Linked DNA regions of Sus scrofa. The protein of the gene in region 4 interacts with the protein of the main gene of each other region in a biochemical or structural test. Links are inferred from orthologs where the notes say so. Each region holds a gene or a part of one and is shown on either strand. Other genes may lie near its edges.

The links. The genes of interacting proteins can lie anywhere in the genome.
Region 1: the proteins of UBE2D1 (region 4) and RFWD2 form a complex in vitro, tested with the Homo sapiens proteins (2 studies listed by BioGRID). The link is inferred for Sus scrofa from reciprocal best matches to the Homo sapiens genes UBE2D1 and COP1.
Region 2: the proteins of UBE2D1 (region 4) and TRIM32 form a complex in vitro, tested with the Homo sapiens proteins (4 studies listed by BioGRID). The link is inferred for Sus scrofa from reciprocal best matches to the Homo sapiens genes UBE2D1 and TRIM32.
Region 3: the proteins of UBE2D1 (region 4) and TRIM21 form a complex in vitro, tested with the Homo sapiens proteins (3 studies listed by BioGRID). The link is inferred for Sus scrofa from reciprocal best matches to the Homo sapiens genes UBE2D1 and TRIM21.

The regions. Positions count from the first base shown.
Region 1 is NC_010451.4:118,016,152-118,021,222, forward strand, and holds part of RFWD2 (E3 ubiquitin-protein ligase RFWD2), read right to left. Parts: intron 2,799-5,071; coding exon 2,684-2,798; intron 1-2,683. UniProt on the Homo sapiens protein: E3 ubiquitin-protein ligase that mediates ubiquitination and subsequent proteasomal degradation of target proteins.
Region 2 is NC_010443.5:257,063,523-257,068,028, reverse strand, and holds the end of TRIM32 (E3 ubiquitin-protein ligase TRIM32), read right to left. Parts: intron 4,183-4,506; coding exon 2,145-4,182; 3' UTR 1,118-2,144; downstream 1-1,117. UniProt on the Homo sapiens protein: E3 ubiquitin ligase that plays a role in various biological processes including neural stem cell differentiation, innate immunity, inflammatory resonse and autophagy.
Region 3 is NC_010451.4:5,787,177-5,791,745, reverse strand, and holds the end of TRIM21 (E3 ubiquitin-protein ligase TRIM21), read right to left. Parts: intron 3,705-4,569; coding exon 3,682-3,704; intron 2,847-3,681; coding exon 2,746-2,846; intron 2,484-2,745; coding exon 1,963-2,483; coding exon of another isoform or gene 1,934-1,962; 3' UTR 1,118-1,933; downstream 1-1,117. UniProt on the Homo sapiens protein: E3 ubiquitin-protein ligase whose activity is dependent on E2 enzymes, UBE2D1, UBE2D2, UBE2E1 and UBE2E2.
Region 4 is NC_010456.5:92,326,884-92,332,502, forward strand, and holds the start of UBE2D1 (UB2D1), read right to left. Parts: upstream 3,331-5,619; coding exon 3,307-3,330; intron 1-3,306.

The sequences.
Region 1 (5,071 bases), on a different chromosome or scaffold from region 4:
AATGTACCTATCAATTATTAAAAAGAAGAACAATTATTTGGAGAATAATTCACGTAATACTCTGAAGTGTTTCAAATCCAATTATGTAACAACAGGAAGCATCTGCCCCTAATATTTTACATTTTAAAGACCCAAACAGTCATCTAACAACCTACGTTTAAAAAGACTCTATTTTGTAGTGTTTTGATTCTAGAAAGAGCAAAAGGAACAAACCCAATTAGTATGCAATATCATGTTACTAAGCTAAAGCTCTTGGCCCACAAAAATCACTCTTTGGAAATTCAAATTATAAATAAAAACAGGTTACTGGGGTGGGGGGGGAGAGGAAATATCAACTGTACTTCCAAGTAGTTTGGATAAAATAATTCATTGGTTCTTTTGATATACAACCCTATTACTGTGATCTACTTAATAAATACTGAAAATAGAGTTACTTTAGATATCCACTTAAAAATGGCTTTAGTTAATCTATTCTTTTACATTTTGACATCAATTCCTAAGTATACAAAATTCACAAGCATTTAAGAATGTCTATTTTTTACAAGATCACAATCCTTTTCTAGGGTAGTTGAACTTCTGCCATCATACCCACTCATTTAACATCTACTTCTAAAAGAAATTATAAAAACACTAAAAATAGTTATTTCAGTATCTGAAAGTATAGGGATTAACTTTTATTTATCTGGTTGTGAAAAGGTAGGATTTTGTTTGGTTGGTTGGTTTATGATCAATACCCATACATCACATGCTGGCCTATCACCTCTCCTATTCTAATTACAGATTAGTTTGTAAAACCGTTTTCACTGTCTCTTTTCTCTCTTCTAATGCTTTATAATTTAGCTTCTTTTTCAATTACAATTAAGAGATCAAGGCATTAATTTATTAGTCTCCGTCTCTCATTTTAATAGCTAAAACTTAAAGTTGGGGATGGGGACTGGATTCTCATTTGAAAACATACATACAAAAGGACAAACTCTTAGGTACCCCATTACGTAAAAATTTAAATTTTATCCTTATAGTCAAGGACACTAGGGGGAACTTCAGTAATATGATTAGTGTAGTCAATGTGCATATCTGATTAAGTTTGAGATGACTAAAAACTAAAGATAACATGTTTTAAGTACAATACAGCCTTGTCTACAAAAATAAAAATCTAATCTTCCTCCTGGTTTTAACTTTACCTTCCTATAAAGCTATATCCCCAAAATAAATTAAATTGGTTCACACTTAATCTTTACTCTCCCAGAGCATTAATTATGCTCATTATTTAAAAATTATTAATCAATAGCCTACTCCAACCTCTCTCCCACCTCGTTCTCTTTTTTAAAAAAATGTCTGCCATTCGCCTGTGGTTGTATCTCAACATCATACTGACAAACAACATCTGAAAGGGCTACTGTGGACTTTCTGCCGGTCAGAATGTAGGTCTCAGACCACTTTCAATTTAACAGCTTCCTACCATAGACTACAGACCATTAGAGAAGTTTAAGAAGGGGTTTAATTCTCAGACAATACAAAGAAGCTTTCTATTTGTAGGAAAGCCACTGACTATTAATTTCAAACACACTTAGAGACAGCTTGGCTTCTTCCTAGTCTTCACAGGAAAAATACTATGCAAATCTATATGTTTTTTCCTCCACCTCCAATCCTGAGGCAAATTTGTCCAAAAGTGACAAGCAATGTGAAGATCATGATACAAACATGCCTATTAAAGAGAAAACCAAGGCCAAATTTTTAACAATTAATAAAAAATATCAGACATCTTTTTCCTTTGGTCATCCTCATTTTAAGCAGGTCTACTATGAATGACATCAATTAATTGAGAATCTAAATTATACTAAGCATTGTATTTTATATGCATCATCTACAGTCCATCAAAAAAAAAAAAAAAAAAAAAAAAAAAACCCTGGAGGATGGGTATAAATGGCCCTACCTCCTTTGTGAGCAAAGACACCAAGAAAGGCTAAAGATTAGAGAACAAAAGGGCACAGAAATATACTACTTTTCTGTAGCAACAAAAATATTATACGCTATCACGTACAAATCTTTTTGTAAGTTATTTCCTCTACTTTGAGTATGCTTCCAATTATCTTTTTTAAGGTTATACTAGCCCTGACTAAATACAACTTCTCTGAAATCCCTACAGTAATCATAATCACTCTCTTACATTTCACTGTCTACAGCTTGGCCTGGTTTTTTCACTCCCTGTTATAATAGCAGATATTCTTCTCTATTCCCTTAGGGCCCTCTGCACACTTATATAACATGTAATATCACATAGATTTATTTACCTGTTGCTTTCCCCCACTAAATTTACAATACTCCTTGACAATACCAGTTCTTTCCTCTTTTTTTATTCTTGGCACAGAGGACAATACTTAGAATTTAACATATGTTGAATAATAGGAGGCAACTGAATTGAACTTATTTTTGCTAGCTACCTCTTCATGGCTGATTTGTTTTTTAAGTTTACTCAGCTTGCCATATAAAGATTAAAAATTCCCAAATAAAGAATAAAGAGTTATGGAAAAGCAATGTTCTCCAAGATGTCTAAAAACTTCCACAATGTCAAAAATGCACACTTTTACTTTACGAATAGAACTTTCCATAAATCCAGCATAAGAGGCTAGATATGGATATGGAAATAGGAATTGAGATATCTTAAGAAGTCCTGAATGTGTACCTGAGATACGAGACATCCTTGTAGAAAAGTAACATTGCTCTAAGTCTTCAAAATGAGCAGTGAGTCGTTTTCGTCTTGATGCTAATGTGCTGTTATACCAGGGCTGTTTCTTTGTCTAAGGTGATAACAAGAAAAGACACTTGTAACTTAGAATAATTCATACTGTCTTTCATCACAGAATATCCAAATGCTTGCATATTTTTGGTAATTTGAAAAGTTCACACTAAAATAATTACAAATTGTTAAAAACTCAATAGTGATTAGACATATTTTCCAATTCTTATTTTAAAGGAAAAACAGCCCAATTTTATAAGAATAATATAAGAAGCTTCTTTCAATTCTCGAAATTAAATGAAGATAGAATCCATTATGACATTCTAAAACTTAGGATTTTGAGAATTTTAATTTTTAGTAATTGTTAGAAAACAATTACCAAGAGAAAACTAATTACTTTTTCATCTCCTTATATTGCAGCCCTATACCTTTTGAATAAGAGGAACAGCACTTGACTGTACAGAATAGGTACTTAATATTATTAGGTTAAGGGGCCATTAATATGTACTAAGTTTGACATATACATTAGAATAGAATAAATCATACATATATATATATATTGATAGCAACAACAAATCTGAAATACATTGGCATAAAAATCATATAAAGAACAAAAGTCTATGATCCTAAATATATAATACCAACTCCATGCTAACTAAAAGGTATGCCAATTCTTCCACAAATGGTTATTACCTACTTTGCTTGGTTATCACCTATTACGCTTGAGGCACATTAACAGATGAAGAAATAAGAAATATAATGAGACCCTGAGATGACACAAGTTAACAATAATCATACCACAACTGAAAATGTATTAAGATGCATTAAGAAATATTAAGTTGCTTCTTAATTAACAAATAATATTTCAGTTACTACCTAAATATTCATTGAATTAATTAAAAAGTAACTTAATAGTAGTAACACAGATAAAACATTTATCTAAAGTAAACTCCTTCTAAGAGTAGACAATAAGAATTATATTTTAAAGAAGTGCTTGGATCACAAGAAAAAGAGTCAAATTCCAAAGAGATAAACAGCCAAACAGTAAACTGCACTCAGAGAGGTGACAGTAAACAAGATATAACAGAGTAGAAAGAGAAAGAAGGAAATTCTTGAATTAAATTGAAGGACAAGCAGATTCAACTGCAAAAAATAGAGAGAGAGGAAGAAGGAGAGGATAATCTAATTTGGGGACAAATACCTACAAAAGAACAAGTACTAGAATTGGAGAATAAAAAGAGAATTTGTAAATTGAAAGATAAATCTGAAAGAATTAACCAAAATGAATGTATCTGAAGAGTTGATGCTGACAATTTTCCAAAACTGAAAACATACATTGACAGAGACATAGAAATTATTTCTGTCAAGAAGGATAATTAAAAAGAAATCCACAATGAGCTAGCTACCCTAAAGAAAAACTGTTTTTGTCCAAAACAGGTAGATTTTAAAATCAAAGAGAAAAGATACCTCATCCAACAGAAACACTTAAAAAAGGCAAAAAACTTCTCAAAAGCAAAGAGAGAAGCTAGAACAGAGTAAATTTTGGTTATTCTTAAAAAGTTAAAATAACCCCAATCTAAAATTCAGATCCCAAAAAACTATCCTGAAGTAACATGAGCAAAATATTTTTTCATGTGAATGAAAACAAAGATTATCACCAATAAGCCATTTCTTTAAAATTACTGATACCATGTACTTGAAAAGTTCAATAATACAAACTAGAAGGTCTGAGACACAAAATCAGAAACACAATGAAACTAGTAACCGAGTAAGTAATTTTAAAATATTGTTTGTACATACATTAATTTATAGTATCTAATTTATGGGGTTTAAGAATAAGACCAAATAAATATACCAAAAAAGAGCATATAGGTCAGAGAGGACGCAAATATTTTTACTTGAAAAGTCTACCAAACATAAGGAAGATATAACATCAGTCTTTTACAAACTCTCAGAAAACACTTCCCAATTTGTCTCATGAGGCCAGAATAACCATAATACCCAAACCCAAACAAGGACATTCGGGGAACAGAAGGAAAGGAGGGGAACAAGCACCCATGACAAAATAATAACAAATCAATCCCAACAACATGTAAAAAGAATAGCTCATCGAGACCAAATGGAGTTTAGTCCAAGAACACAGGGTGGTTTTCATACTGGAAAAAATCAGTCAATGCAATTCATCAAGTGGGCAGAATAAAGAATAACCATATAATAATTTCAAAAGATGCAGAAAAAGCATCTGACAAAATTCAACACATTTCTCACCTAATGGATTAGCAAACATTTAAAAGCATAACTTATTCTGTCAGATATAGGCTCTGAGAAAGACAC
Region 2 (4,506 bases), on a different chromosome or scaffold from region 4:
AAAAGTGCTGTAATTGAGCAAATTAGTTTCCTGGGGCTACACGCTGCAATGTTGTCAATATGGTAGATAATTGAAAATTGACTGTACTAAGCACAACCTAAACTATTCACATCAAGGGAACAAAAACGTTCAGACCACATTTATTTCCATTCTGAGCCAACAGATACCTGCTACACTTGAGGACCAAGGCATGAGTGTGGTTTGGAGATGGGTTAGGTCTAAGTGCCGAATGCCAACAGCGACAGCACTTCCTTCCAAAAGCACAGGCAGTTAGGAGTCCTGGCATTGTTTATATTAAGCCAGCCTGCAGCACCATTTCTCCGCTGCAAACCCTGTGCCAAAGGCCTCAAACACCATTACTGCCTCAGCAAGTCCCCCTCTGACAGCAAAGATAGATCTCCTGCTGCCAGGTGCTACAACAGATAAAGTGGCTCTAATAACTGGTGGAGTCAATTCGCGATGCATTCTTAATTGGATCAATTTCCTCTCAATTATACAGTCTTTGAAAATCGGATGCAATTTCATAATCAGAACGTGGGGCTTTTCTCCAGGTGAAAAGCACAAGACAAACTAGTTTGACATCATTTTAATTAGCTTCTTTCCTATGCTTTGTCAGCTATCACAACAGAAGCCAAAAAAGCACCACCACCACCAAAAAGCAGTTTTGAGAAGCTTGGCTTAGTAGAATCTGCTCTGTGAAAGCCAGGTAATAGTTCTTTGGCTTGTCATCAGCCCTGCACCCAAAGAGCAAGATATGTTGCTTGTTAAACACCAAAGCCTGAGGAACCTTGTCACAAATTCCCTCACCCACTTCAGGTCTTCCTGAAATCACAAATTCCTTCCTCTTTTGAACTGTAATTATAAGGATAAAGCAGGTGGAGGCTGAGTTTAAAACAGGGTGCTGGTGACTGCAGACCTTGGAGGCTGATTCCATACACAGGTTATGTGGGAGTAGGATCTGGATTAACTTGACATAATGGTACTTTTGGCTGAATGGTGACCTAGGTAGATTCTTACCATCCTCAAAGGATGGAGTGTCAGGTGTGGAAACAAAGCAGCAGATACCACCCCCACCTCCCAAATCCCATATTTAATGAAAAGACACGAACACCAGTGATGAAGAAACAGTTATCAATCATTTAATGCTTGATAGAGGAATGGAAATAAATCCCCAAACCAAATATGATGCACTCACTTGAGGAAAATACAGAATAAGGACCCCACAGTTTTAATGATGAAAATGAGATGTGTCCCCCTCTGCACTGTGTTGGCCCCAGCCTGTGTTGTACAATTCCACAGACAGCTCTTAGCACAGGTCAGTGGAGAGAGGTAGTATGAAAAACGATGAGCTCTAGAGACTACCCAACAGTGTCTTTTCACTATAAAAGCATTTATTTCTGTTTATTCCCATTTTCCTATGCTTTGGCCTAATTCCAATCCATATGCTCCTTTGAAAGGCTAGCAATTTCCAGGCTAAGGCCTTCAATACCAGCCAACAAGGGTCAATCCATCCTCTGTCACTGCCACAACTGGAGACCAATCCAAGATAGCACAGACCCCCCCAGAGCTGAGAGGCCCTGCTTCCCAGAGGGACTGTATGTCTCCCTTGGTGGCACTAAGTGAAAGGTGCTCTGACCCGAGACATCATGCCACAGGGATAGGATGTCTGAAGTGTCACTGAAAGGTGCAGCAGGTCCCACTGGAGCATGCATGCTAAATGCAGCAGAGCTGAAGAGAAAGTCACAGATGGAGTGTATATCAATAAGGGAGGAAATAATGGACCAGAGTGGTCAAAGCCAAAAGAGAGAAAAATCAACAAGGATTCAATACAAGGGCAAATTTCAAATACAGGGGCAAAAGGCTACTGAAGCCCTGGAAGTGTCTAGGTTCTACTCAAACATCGGCTAACCTCATATCGTGTCCTATTTAGGGCAGTGCATCTGTTAAAGCTCTAAACTTAGGGAGGAGATAATGCAAATTAAAACAAACAAACACACTAAAAGAGACAGAGCTTCTAAACTTCTAGGACTAGCCAGCTGGAATCAGGACACAGGCCAAGTCTACGCTACAGTACCACCAACCACCAAGGAATGAGGGAAGGGAAGATGGCTGAGGAGCACAAGAAACTGCTATCACTCAGCCCCCTAAGGGGTAGAATATCTTCTCAGATGGTAGCTGTAAATCTTGATGCAATGATCCCAACAGTCCAAGACCAGCAGCTGCCCCTTAGGAGTGAGGGCGATGCCCACTGGACAGGTGAGCCCCTCTCGGATAAGGACACTATAGCCGCCCCCCTTGGGGAAGTGGAGAATCTCCTTGCGACTGCTGTCAGCCACGATGAGATCCCCACGCGCATCCACACACATGCCGGCGATACAGCGGAAATCCTCGTTCTCTGAGAAGAAGTGGCTGATCTGGCGACCCAGCTGCCCGTCGGGGCCCACAGAGCCAATGGAGAAGCCGCCCTCCAGGTGGTGCTCATTCTGCCGATTCTCCAGATTAAGGCCCAAGCCCTGGGTGAAGTAGACGGTGCCCTCGGTGTCGCAGGTCACAAACTTGGGCCGAACGGCACTGCACAGGCAGCTGTACTTGACCACCCCTGCTCCTCGGTCAACAGTGAAGCACCAGAGCTTTCCACCCTCCACATCAGTTACCACGAACTGGCCGGATGGAAGGGCTGTGATGCCCCAGGGCTTGCTCAACTGGCTCCTGTGACAGGCCACGCAGTGGCCATCCAAGGTGTACACCTTGAGGGAGTTGTCATAGCTGTCAGTCACACCGATCAGCCCGTGGCAGTTCATGGCCACTGAGAGAGGAGTGAGATTGGGCAGATCAGCCCCAAGGAAGCTCAGCACAAAGCTATCGATGCCGCTGGGGCTGCGGCGGATCTCCTTCAAGAAGCCTTTGCGGGTAAAGACTTGTATACGGTAGTTGCCTCGGTCAGCGACCAGCACCTCGCCTTGACCAGTCACGTAGAGGCTGACCGGAAGGTTGAACATGCCTGGAGTGCTGCCTTTGGCCCCCATCTTCTTGAGAAAGAGGCACTGCTGGATGCTGGCGGCTGTCTCGGCTCCCCGCTGCTTAGCAGGCGAGGCCCTCGGGCTGGCAACTTCCTCGGGGCTCATGTCCATCTCTCTAAATGTCACAGAAGTAGAGGCAGCAGAAGCCGCAGCCTCCATGGCCCAGGAGTCTTCCATGTTGACTGTCCGGGGCTTCTTAACCGCCTGCCCGATTTGGAGGGGGCCCACGTGGCCGACCTTGAGGAGCTCCACGTCCTGCAGGGTCAGCTCGTGGGGCAGGCTGGCGGTGAGCTCGGGCTCCTCCTCCTCCGCCGTCTCTTCCAGGAGCGCCACATCCGCCTGCTTGATCTTGGCCAGGAAGTAGTCACAGCGGGACACAGCCTGCACCTCTGCGATGTTGAGCAGGTAACTCTGCTCCTCCACCACTTGACTGTTGGACTTTTCAACCTCAGCCAAAGAGCCTGTGAAGAACTTCCGAGAGCGAGCCAGCTCCTCCTGGACCCGGCGCTCCTCGTGCCCGTACTCCTGGAGAACGGCTTTATACCGTGCCTGCAGGTCCTTGGAGACACCTTCCAAGGCCACCTTCCGCCGCTGCAGCTCCCCCATGAGCTCCCGTAGACGGGCCAACTTCTCTCCAAAGTCCCGGCGCCGCTCCTCGGCGGCCTCTTTGACAGGGAGCGTGCAGTGGCCGGGAGGCTGGTGGTCCGCCTCCCGGCAGGGCTCACATAACACCACGCTGCAGCTCCGGCAGAACTGCCGGGGCAGCCGCCGCCCGCAGGCCCGGCACATGAGCAGCCCCACGGCCTCGCTGAGCCCAGCCGTGTCAATGATCTTCAGCACGGTCAGGTTGTCCGTCAGCTGGCTCAGGCTGGTTATGCGGGTAATCTTACTGCAAAAGGGACAGCGCACGCCGTTGATGCTGCTGGCCAGCAGCTTCTCCAGGCACTGGCGGCAGATGGTATGGCCACAGTGCAGGAGCTTGGGCCGCAGCTGCTCCTCTGTGAAGGACTCCATGCAGATGGGGCATTCCAGCACTTCCCGGAGGGCATCCAGGTTCAGGTGAGAGGCTGCGGCTGCAGCCATTGCTCTTCCTGTGAAGGGGCTGCTAGCACAGCCCAGGACTGAACAGCCTAGTGTACATGCTCCAGAGGGCCAAGTCCTGCTAAAGAGAAAAAGAAGCCATTATTCCCCGCCTCCATGAGTTAACGCACTCAAGACACGTGTAGAGAATGGCTCCCATCACTCATTCAGTCGCTGACTTATTTAATAAGTATTTACTCAAATCCATTCCGTGTTAGCTGACGGTACTACAAGGGGAAACTAAGTGCTGCATGAGTGGGTGAGACTTCAGGTTCTAGAGTCTCTGATACTAGTTATGTGACCTTAAGGAAGTAACTTAAACTTCCCCAAACTCAGCTGCCCCATCACTCACCTATAAAGTTTAAATAATAATGATGTCTACTTTATATGTTTTAGGGAAGGATTA
Region 3 (4,569 bases), on a different chromosome or scaffold from region 4:
GGGGTGGGGCAACGGGTTGGGGGGGTCAGCGTGCAAACTTTCAGCTGTAAGATGAATATGTTATGAGAAGGTAATAAACAGCATGGCGACTATAGTTAATACTTTACTGTGTATTTGAAAGTTACTAAGAAAGTAGATTTTTTTTTTTTTTTTTTTTTTTTACTTTTTAGGGCTATACCTGAGGCAGGTGGAAGTTCCCAGGCTAGGGGTCGAATCAGCGCTACAGCTGCCAGCCTACACCACAGTCACAGCAACGCCAGATCTGAGCTGTGTCTGCAACTTACACCACTGAGCGAGGGCAGGGATCAAACCTGTGTTCTCATGGATGCTCATCAGATTCGTTTCTGCTGAACCACGACGGGAACTTCCAAGAGATCTTAAAAGTTTTCACCACAAACTGGCACAAATGTAACTATGTGAGGTGATAGAGTTAACTAATCTTATTGCGGTAATCATTTTTGCAGTATATATATGTAATATATATATATAATCATTACATTATATGCCTTAAACTTAGAAAATGTTACATCTTAATAAAGCTGGCAGAAAAAAAAATATACAATGGAGTATTTTCAATCATACAAGAAGGAAGTCCTGCCTTTTGTGACAACATGAATAAACCTTACATTATCCTAAGTGAAATGAGCCAGGCACAGAAAAACAAATACTCTGGGATTTCTCTTATATGTAGAATCCAAAAAATTGGAACTCATAGAAATAGAGTGGGCATGGAAGTAGGGGAAACAGGGAGATGTTATCTCTACACTACATCTCCAAACACACTTTTAGTTTGGAGATCTAAAGTAGAGCGTGGGGACTATAGTTTAAAATATGATATTGTATACTTGCAATTTGCTAAGAGTTGATCTTAAATGTGCTCATTATACACACAAAAACAGTACGTGTGGGGTGATGAATTAATTAGCTCGATTGTGGTAATTGTGAACGGAAGTTTGGCCCTTGCCATCAGCCTCTACTGGGAGTAAAACACGAGCCACTGCATCTGCCCACCCGCAGCACCCCCTGAGCGGAGCGTGGGGTGGGGACCAGCAGGGAGGCCCTCTGTGCTCTGGGAAAACTGGAAGAACAGATCCTCAGAGAGTTAGGTATTTTTAGGAGAAGATACGGCTGGGAGGTAGTGAGGGGAGTAGGGGAGCCAGCAAGCTGGGTATTTAACAGGGTGATCTAAGGCGTGCGTAATTCAGCCTTTATTTTATTTTCTGTAATTTTTAAACTTCATTTTTATCTTTTAATTTATCTTTTTCTTCTTTTGGCTGCCCCTCGGCACATGGAGTTCCTGGACCAGGGATCATATCTGAGACGCAGTTGCGACCTGAGCTGCAGGTGCTGCAACGCCGGATCCTTAACCCACTGTGCGGGGCCGGGGGTCCAACCTGCATGTCCCAGCGCTCCCAAGACGCCGCCAATCCCATTGTGCTACAGCGGGAACTCCTCAGCCTTTATTTTAAAAGGATGGCTGCTAATGGCTCTTTTTCCGTAGCAGCGTGGAGCCATCCGTGATGAGACGTGACCATGTCGGAAAGCTAATCCCAGAGGTGTACGAGACAAGAGTGGTGGGGCAGACGGAGGCCCAATTTATTTAGGAAGCCCTTTGCAAGATCTACAGGAGAGATCTGAGCAGAGGCCCGGAGATGGAGAGGAGAACATGCTTCAGTTGATCCAGATGAGTTTGGGGCCAGATACGAGTGGCTGGCTTATGGAGGGGCTCATGAAGCAACGGAGGGCAGGAATCTGGGTGTTGAAGGTCATTTGACACAGACCCCCCGTGACCTCTCTGCCAGCGTTTGCTTGCTGATATCCTGACACCTCTGCAGAGGTAACGGTGGTTGGGCGTCCAGGGGCAAATGAGGCAGGGCTCTTGGCTGAGAGGGGGGCTAACAGAGAAGCGCTGCCACCGACAGTCTCTGGATCCCTACCAGCCCGTCCTCAGTGGACAGAGGGTCAGGGGGGGTGCATTTCTTCCACCGTCATTGAAACCAGGATTGAAGAAGGGCCGAACGGGTCCAGCGAAGCACATTCTGAGAAGCTGTAGATGAGGGAGCCGTGGTCACTGATGTTGTAGAAGGAGACGGTGCTGGCATCGTAGTCCAGGAAGATCCCAACGCGGCTCGGAGGCACCTGAGGGTAGAGGGGAGTCTGGGTGCAGGTGCCAGCCTCATATTTTTGTTTGTTCCACAGCCAGATGGTCCAGAAGCCATTGCTGGGGTTGAGCAAAAAATGTCCCTTCCTCTTCACGGAGTCTCGACACACACCCAGGTCCCAGGCCTCCTTGCCGGCCACATCCACCTCCCAGTAATGTTTCCCAGAGTTGAAGTGCTGGGCACCCAGGACCATGGGGTAGGTATCAAATCTCTCCTCGTTTTCGGGCACTTCCTGCCGGGTCTCTCCAAGCCTCACTTGTCGCCGATTCTCTGAAAGGACGAGCCACGGACTGGCCGTCAGTGGGTCCAGAGTGATGTGCACTGGAGAGAGAGGCCCGTGGTCAGGCTGGGAGAGCGGGGGGAGTCAGTAACCCTGAGTCCGGGGTGGGGGATGAGGAGGAAGTGACCCCCGGCCAACTCCGCCCCTTGCCCTGACCTTTGGGGGAACCACCTCCCCTGTCTCCACCCCCGCCCCGCCTACTCCCACCTGCCATCTCTCCCCGACCCTGGGAGGCACTGGGCATCCCTGTCCTCCCCTCTGCTCCTGGGCAGGCCAGTCCCACACCGCTGGTGCCGGCCTCACCTGCATATGACCTCAGCATCCTCTTAATCCCGGGCACATAGCACAAGCTGCTCAGGTCTGGGAAGCCGATGTTCAGCTCCTTCAGGTTCCAAGACTCACTCCTGGGGGAAAAAGAGTTAGAGACCCCCTCTGCAACTCCTAAGGAACCCTCTCCCTATTATCACCTCTGCGGATGACTGGTAATTCAATGCAAATGTGCAAACTCCTCCCGTGCTGCTGGGGTCCCTCGGGGTGGAGGGCGAAGGGAGGTAGGATGCAGTTTCCACCCAAGCACATCCTGTTCCATTTTTACGTTCAAGGCATCTGATACAGGCTGCATCACTTCCCTGAGGGACCTCATGCTGCGGGTCTTACCCAGGGCCCGTTCTGGGAGGTTTGAAACTGGTCAGGTTCTTTTTAAAGCAGCCCCAGCGGGCCGCAGACTCACAGCTTCCCTGCTGGTCAGAACCTCACTTGGTGAAGATTTTATACTCCAAGGACTGGGCACCTCGGCAACGGAGATGTCCATTAATCAGCCTTCTGAGACCAGAAACTATTTCAGCGAGAACTGGGTCTTTGAGAACAGGGAGAAGGATGGGGAAAACCTCAGTGCTTTTTTTTTGGTCTTTTTAGGGCTGCACTCATGGCATACGGAAGCTCTCAGGCCAGGAGTCAAATTGGAGCTGCAGCCGCCGGCCTACAATCCAGCCACAGCCACAGTCTTGCAGGATCCAAGCTTAATCTGCGACCTACACCACAGCTCATGGCAATGCCAGATCCTTAACCCCCTGAGCGAGGCCAGGGATCGAACCTGCATCCTCATGGATGCTAGTTGGGTTCGTTTCTGCTGAGCCACAAAGGGACCTCCAAGGGCACATTTTTAAACCTGAAAACCTTTCCCACAGGTGACTATGTTTCCTGCCACCTTCTCCTCCAACAAAGAAAGCCTCTCCTTACCTTTCCAGGACACTCTTCACCTCCTGAGGAGAAAAGAGACAGAGAGTAAGTTCTGGAGTCACTGGATGATGACGGAGACGTCAGTCCTGTGGGTGACGCGATGCCACCTGAGGACCACAGGACACTTCTCCGCCCCATTCCTCTGGGCCAAGGCCCGAAAGACGTCTTGGACCAGCTTGGAAGCAAAGGTGTGTGTGGGCGCTTGTGGGGGAAGCAGAAACCCAGCGTGGGTGGGACCTCCAGCAGGGGAAGGAAGGGCCGTTTACAAAGTCGGATGCAGAAAAAACTAACATTAAAAAGACCGGATTCTCGGTGGGGGTCGGGGAGCGCGGAAAGGGGCAAACAGCCCAGCCTGGCTGAGGTCCCAAGGTGGCCCCTGAGAAAGAATGGCCACGAGAGGATGCCCAGAACACACAGAAACTGCTCCCACTGTGGCTTGAGCTGTTCGGGTGCTCTGTGCTGCTTAATGCTGCCCCCATTGTGCATGTGAAACCAATATGCCTGAGAATATTCTGTTGCAGGTGGGTGGGGGCCCTTACCTGGGAACTGGCAGGCTCCTAGGCTCGGACAAAAGTGCCTCAAAAAGCCCTGCTCAGGAGTTTGTGCTGTGGCTCAGCAGAAACAAACCCGGTTAGTATCCGTGAGAACATGAGTTCAATCCCTGGATAGGTCAGGAATCTGGCAGGCCCATGAGCGTGGTGTAGGTTGCAGGTATGGCTCAGATCTGGCGTTGCTGTGACTGTGGTGTAGGTGGCAGCTGTAGCTCTGATTCGGCCCCTAGCCTGGGAACCTCCATATGCAGCAGGTGCGGCCCTAAAAAGCAAAAAACAAAACAAAAAACAAAGCTTTGCTCAATGCTGGGCAGAAGCAAGGTTTAGATACTGAGAT
Region 4 (5,619 bases):
TGACGATTGTGTTAAATTTCCTTTTTTTTTTTTTAACTTTCCAGTTTTCAAAACATTCAGTATTGTGATATAACATCTGTAATTTAAAAAATGATTTTCGGAGTTCCCGTCGTGGCGCAGTGGTTAACGAATCCGACTAGGAACCATGAGGTTGCGGGTTCGGTCCCTGCCCTTGCTCAGTGGGTCAAGCTTCCGGCATTGCCGTGAGCGGTGGTGTAGGTCACAGACGCGGCTTGGATCCTGCGTTGCTGTGGCTCTGGCGTAGGCTGGCAGCTACAGCTCCAATTCGACCCCTAGCCTGGGAACCTCCATATGCCGCAGGAGCGGCCCAAGAAATGGCAAAAAGACAAAAAAATAAAAAAAAAATAATAATAAATAAATAAAAAATGATTTCCAAAAAATTTACCAAGGCTTGAAAACAGTATTAACAGAAGAAACATTCAAAACTAATTCTAGAAAATAGCAAATGCCCAGCTGAAAACTGCCCTCTTTTTTCAGACATGCCTTAGTTATCTTTCCTTAGACTTTGCTCAAATTTCTTCCCTTTAGTGATTTAGGTGACTATGATAACATCTTCCACTGTATCTAAAAATAGGGCATGAGTGTGTAAATTTATGAGCTGAAATGTAAAAACTGGCACTGGATGTCTAAATTAGAGTATTAAATCATTTACCGTACTCTAGCATAAAAATATATTTTAAGCACTCATCTCCACATGCTTTGTATATTCATACAATTTTAATTCAACCATCCTTAATCTTTTCATATGAAGTGAAGAAATGTGAAATCATGAACTTTTTAACATTCTCAAATATGCCAAATCACTTCTTAAGAGATTAACTTGGACAAAGCACTCCACTCCAAACCTCAGACTCCTCTGACTAACAAGGAGACTAGACTAGAATGTCAGTGGTTCTCAGCCTTCTTTCCACCCCAGCCCATCTGAGGGATTCTACAACTGACAGCAGTCATGGACAGCAGTGGGGACAGCCTGCAATACATCTCTCAGAGGTGATTCTGATACACTACCCTAGAAGCTGTTCCCCTTCTCTCCACTCCACTCTGCTACTGCAGAGTTCTTTGAGGTTCTGCAGTTCTATAGGCTGCCACTGCAGGTACAGGAAAATAACAACCCAGAGGACCTGGAAGGCAACTGACAGTATTCCTTTAATACACTTAAAAAGAAAGGCCAAACATTACTATGCATTTTCTTTTGTTGAAGCATGCAAAATTCAAAGAGAATCTGTATAATGATGCTATCAAATAGGGCTTTGTAAGTGTTCATATGGCAAACAGCACACATTCTCTGGAATTCTTTTTTAATCAAGGGGGTAGGTAAGGCAAGAGGAAAAGTGGGGAATCAAAACAAATACCTTCTAAAGTTTGAGGGAATTGTTTGAACATGGAAGAGAGATTTATGCAAGTCAACTTTTCTGACAACAGAGAAGGAAAGCCAAAGACTGACACATAGAGATGGGATGTTATGTGACCCCAAATCTCCTCCCCAAACTATCAATTTGTTACAGATCTGACATCAATTCTACGTAAGAATATTTTCTTAACCAGACAACTCTGTTACAAACTAAGAGCTGAAAATATGATTTGGGTATATGCCATATTATAAATACAAATCAAATATACTGGCTCAGCATGGTGATTGATAGTTGCCCAGTATATTTACAAATAATGACAATTTCCTTTGTCTACTGTGGACAAATTCTACACTACTTAAAAGCTATTATATGTGTAAAGCTTTGTAAAAAATTCTCACAACTAGAGAAGAAGAAAATGTAATTTTTAAGACTTACTTGGAAAAATGTGTGTGGTTTACTTCAAATGAGAGCCAATATTACATCATCATTAATAAGTACACAAGGCATGGCAAAGATGCTGAGTGAGGCTTCAGATTAGAATTATCTATTAAAAAAAAATGTGTAACTGCATTATCTTCAAACCAGAAAACATACTAATCAATAAATGCTGATCATTAGCTATGGGCTTTATAGCGAGAGGAACTTTAAAAAGTACAAAAATTAACAATATTCCACAGATTTAGTATTTGACTCTCCCCCCCCAAAATTGGCTGGTTCTAGAAAGTTGCTGTCCTCTGTACCAGAAGATGCCACCAATGGTGACTAAGAAAACATCTCTATCACTGTTCTTTTGATTCATGCCTGAAAAGGTTGATAAATTTTTTCGGTAGGATTTCTTCTGAAATCCTTTACAAAACATACTGTCCATTGTTGGCTTAACTTGCTGAACCTAACTCCCATTAAAATAACAAATTCTCAATGTTCTCCACATGAAACATACCAATAAAACCTAAAACTTGTGTCAGTGAACAGACCAAATCACCTAACAAGAAGTAAAAGTGAACAGAAAGAAAATGCCCCAACCCAATTTTGTAAGATGTTCATGTAGAGACAGTAGCAATAGATACTATGCAAGAGAAGACAATACCTTACACTGCGTTTGGGATAGACAAACATTTCTTTAATGAACGTACACATTTCTTCCTCATTCTATACCCATGTGTCAAAACATCAAACAATTAAATTTGTGGCAGTTTCTGTTGTGTCTCAAACTTTACACCTAAGTTTATCATGAGGGGTAAAAAAAACCTGCTTGGCTTGACTTGCCATGAATCACAGCCAGGAGGTCATCTTGCTGTGTATCAGCAACTATGTTTTCACTACAGCTATGTGACCTGAAGTGGCAGCAGCAGAGGGACCAAAATAGAAGGGGCAGGAGGCTTCTCGGCCCCAAACAGGCTTTTCCAGCCCATTCGGGCATCTGAGCAAGAGCCAACCTCAGAGGAGAGAAAGAACAAATCCAAGGGCTCCGCGGAGGAAGGCTGCAGGCCCACCACACCTTCCTTGCCCTCCCCGGGAGTCCAGGGAGACAAGAACATAAAAGAGAACCGGCTTAAGAAACAGCTTGAAGAAAGCAGCATGACAAGGGCCAAAACTCGCCCGGTATAGGACAAAATTCAGGCGCGACCGAGAAGCACAGATTTCGGGAAGGTCTGGAGACCGAAACGATCTCCGGCCGGGGCTCCGGGCGCAGGTCCTGAGAGAGCGCACGGCGGGCCCCCTGCCTCCCAGCACCTCCAGCGCCCGGGACCTGCCGCTGCTCCCACCTCACCTGTCGGGTGCCCGCTGGCCCCGCCAGCATCCCTGGCCCCTGGTTCCCGCCCCGGCCCATCCTTCTTTCACGTTCCCTCCAGGCACAACTCTCAGACCACCGCCGGGCTCAGCGTGGGCAGGGGGCTGAAGCCCCCGCCCCAGACCGGGCCCCGGCACTCACTTTCTGAATCCGCTTCAGCGCCATGGGTCAGGGAGGACAGCGGGGACACTGGCCGGTGGGGGACGGCTTCGGGGCTCGGAGGCGTGGGATCGTTGCGGACTCGGTTCGCTGGCTATTCGGCTGGCTCAGCCGGGAGGGTCCCGGCTTGCTGCTCTCTCGCTCGCTCCGGGAGCCGCTGCCCGTTCCGAGTGCGCCCCAGCGCCAGTATGCGGGCGGGGACGCCGGTGAGACTCTTTTGTTTCCGCTTTTGCTTCTGGGAAGGAGGCTGTGTCCGCCCCGCCCCGCCCCGCCCCATCCCGCCGGGCACTTTGGGAAGTGTAGTTCCGGCTCTTCCTGGCCGCCGCCCGGGGCGGGGGTGCGTTGCTCACAGATGACCTAGACCCGCAGGCTGATCTCAGAACTACCCCGGGTTGAGTAGGTCTCTGCAGTTGGATTTTGAGCAAGGTACTGAAGTGGAGTCCCCATTCTGTAAAATGAGGATAACAAATTAGCTTGAAAAACATGTACAAGAATTTCTGACGTGCTGTAGCTCATCTTGCTTTTTTTTACGTTTACAGATTTTACCCTCTTCTCAAATACTTGAATTGCGTCAATTTCTCACATATGCACAGACTTATACCAGTTAAGACACCTTACCTCCTTAATTCCTATTTCAAAAGTCGCCCCTTCTATCTGATGCTAATCCCACCATGTTTGCTTCTTCTTGGAACTCCCAATTCTGAGTTTCATCCTCCTTCCTTTCCGTTGACAGACCAGTAGTACCTGCTCTGTCCCCATAGTCTCCTCGCGCTCCTCACTCACTCAATTCTTATGAACGTGTGTGCTCAATAAAACTTGGCTTCTGCTTTCAGCACCAGCAGAACTCGCTTCTCACCAGAGTCGCACTTGAGCTTCTACTTCCCAAATCGAGTTCGCTCCTTTTCCTCCATGACGTTTTTGACCTATTTCATTGCTGGCTACCTTTTGCTTTTTAAAATACTTACCGCCTACCAGAGCACTAGGGTAGTTGGGGTTTTTACTCCTCTGGCTTTGGCTTTTTTGTCACTAGCTCCCCTTCTCAAGAGTCAGAGTGGCCTGGAGTTCCAGTCTCTGATCTCTACCATGAACTGGGTGGGAGCCCACGAAGCTTGGCTGGAGGGAGGGCTTTGTAGACAGATCCTCTCCTGGAATGGGATCCCAGCTCTGATTCGTACCCACTGTGTGGTTGTGTAGTCAATTAAACTCTCTAAGCCTCAGTTTCCTCATGTCAAAATCTCTAGATATGTTATTGTAAAAATTAACTGATATACATATAACATGCCACAATACCTAATATGTTGAAAGTGCTCTATAAAAATTATTTCCTTGTTTTTTTCTATATGATAATGACTTAAAATCTTTCTTTCCAATGAAACTCTCACCCAAATTTCAGCCTTTTATGTCCAAAAGTCTACTGGACATGTCCACCTTCCTTCTTTGTGGCCAGGAATGAGAATGTGTTACAATGTCAGGGTTGGAGGAAAGCCCCAAACAGTAGCTACCATAGCTTCTTTAAAGGCTTACAAAGAACAAGGAACAAAAATCCACTCATGTAACTTAAAGTCCTAGGTAGATAGGATAGTGAAAGAATGATGGAAATGTGTAATGGAATCTGAAACTTGATTTAGAAGCCTCTCATCCCCTTCCCCCAAAATAAACATAATACTAAAATCTTTCTGGAGTTTAGCTATTCTCTTACTTCCTTTTTCTTGAGGTTTGCTTCTCTGCACTCTGGCCCACCCTCCTTTTCCCAGTTCCCTCTTAGCTTCTCTTGCACGTGGCATGAGCTCCTATCACTCTTACTCCATTTTTTGACACTCTTCCAGCAACTGCTCCTGCTGTTAAATGGCCAGGCCTTTTGGTACTCCCTATCTATTTCCCTAAAAGGAAGAATCTCATTGATACATCCATCTTTTTACTCCAGGCTATAATTTTCAGCTAGTGAGCAAAGTATGGACTGACTACTCTTAGGTTAGTTAGCCACCCATGGTCCAATCAATAGGAAGTCTGAAGTATGTTGGGACAAGGAGGTTTGTGAAACAAACCAGCAAGGCCATATCATCCTGCAGAGAGATGTATTGGGGCTAGATTGACCCACCATCTTTGTTCTCTAGAAAATGGGACCCTACCCTCAACATCACTCTTTTTTTTCATAGGGCAGACATGAGAGTGTCCTTGTAAATAGAGGAGAAAAAGTCTGGACTTGGGCACCACCTGTTTTGAGGAGTTGCATTCCCATGTTGATAGTATTGGGATATTATGCACGAATTGAGGCCATGCCCAGCTGCTCCCACT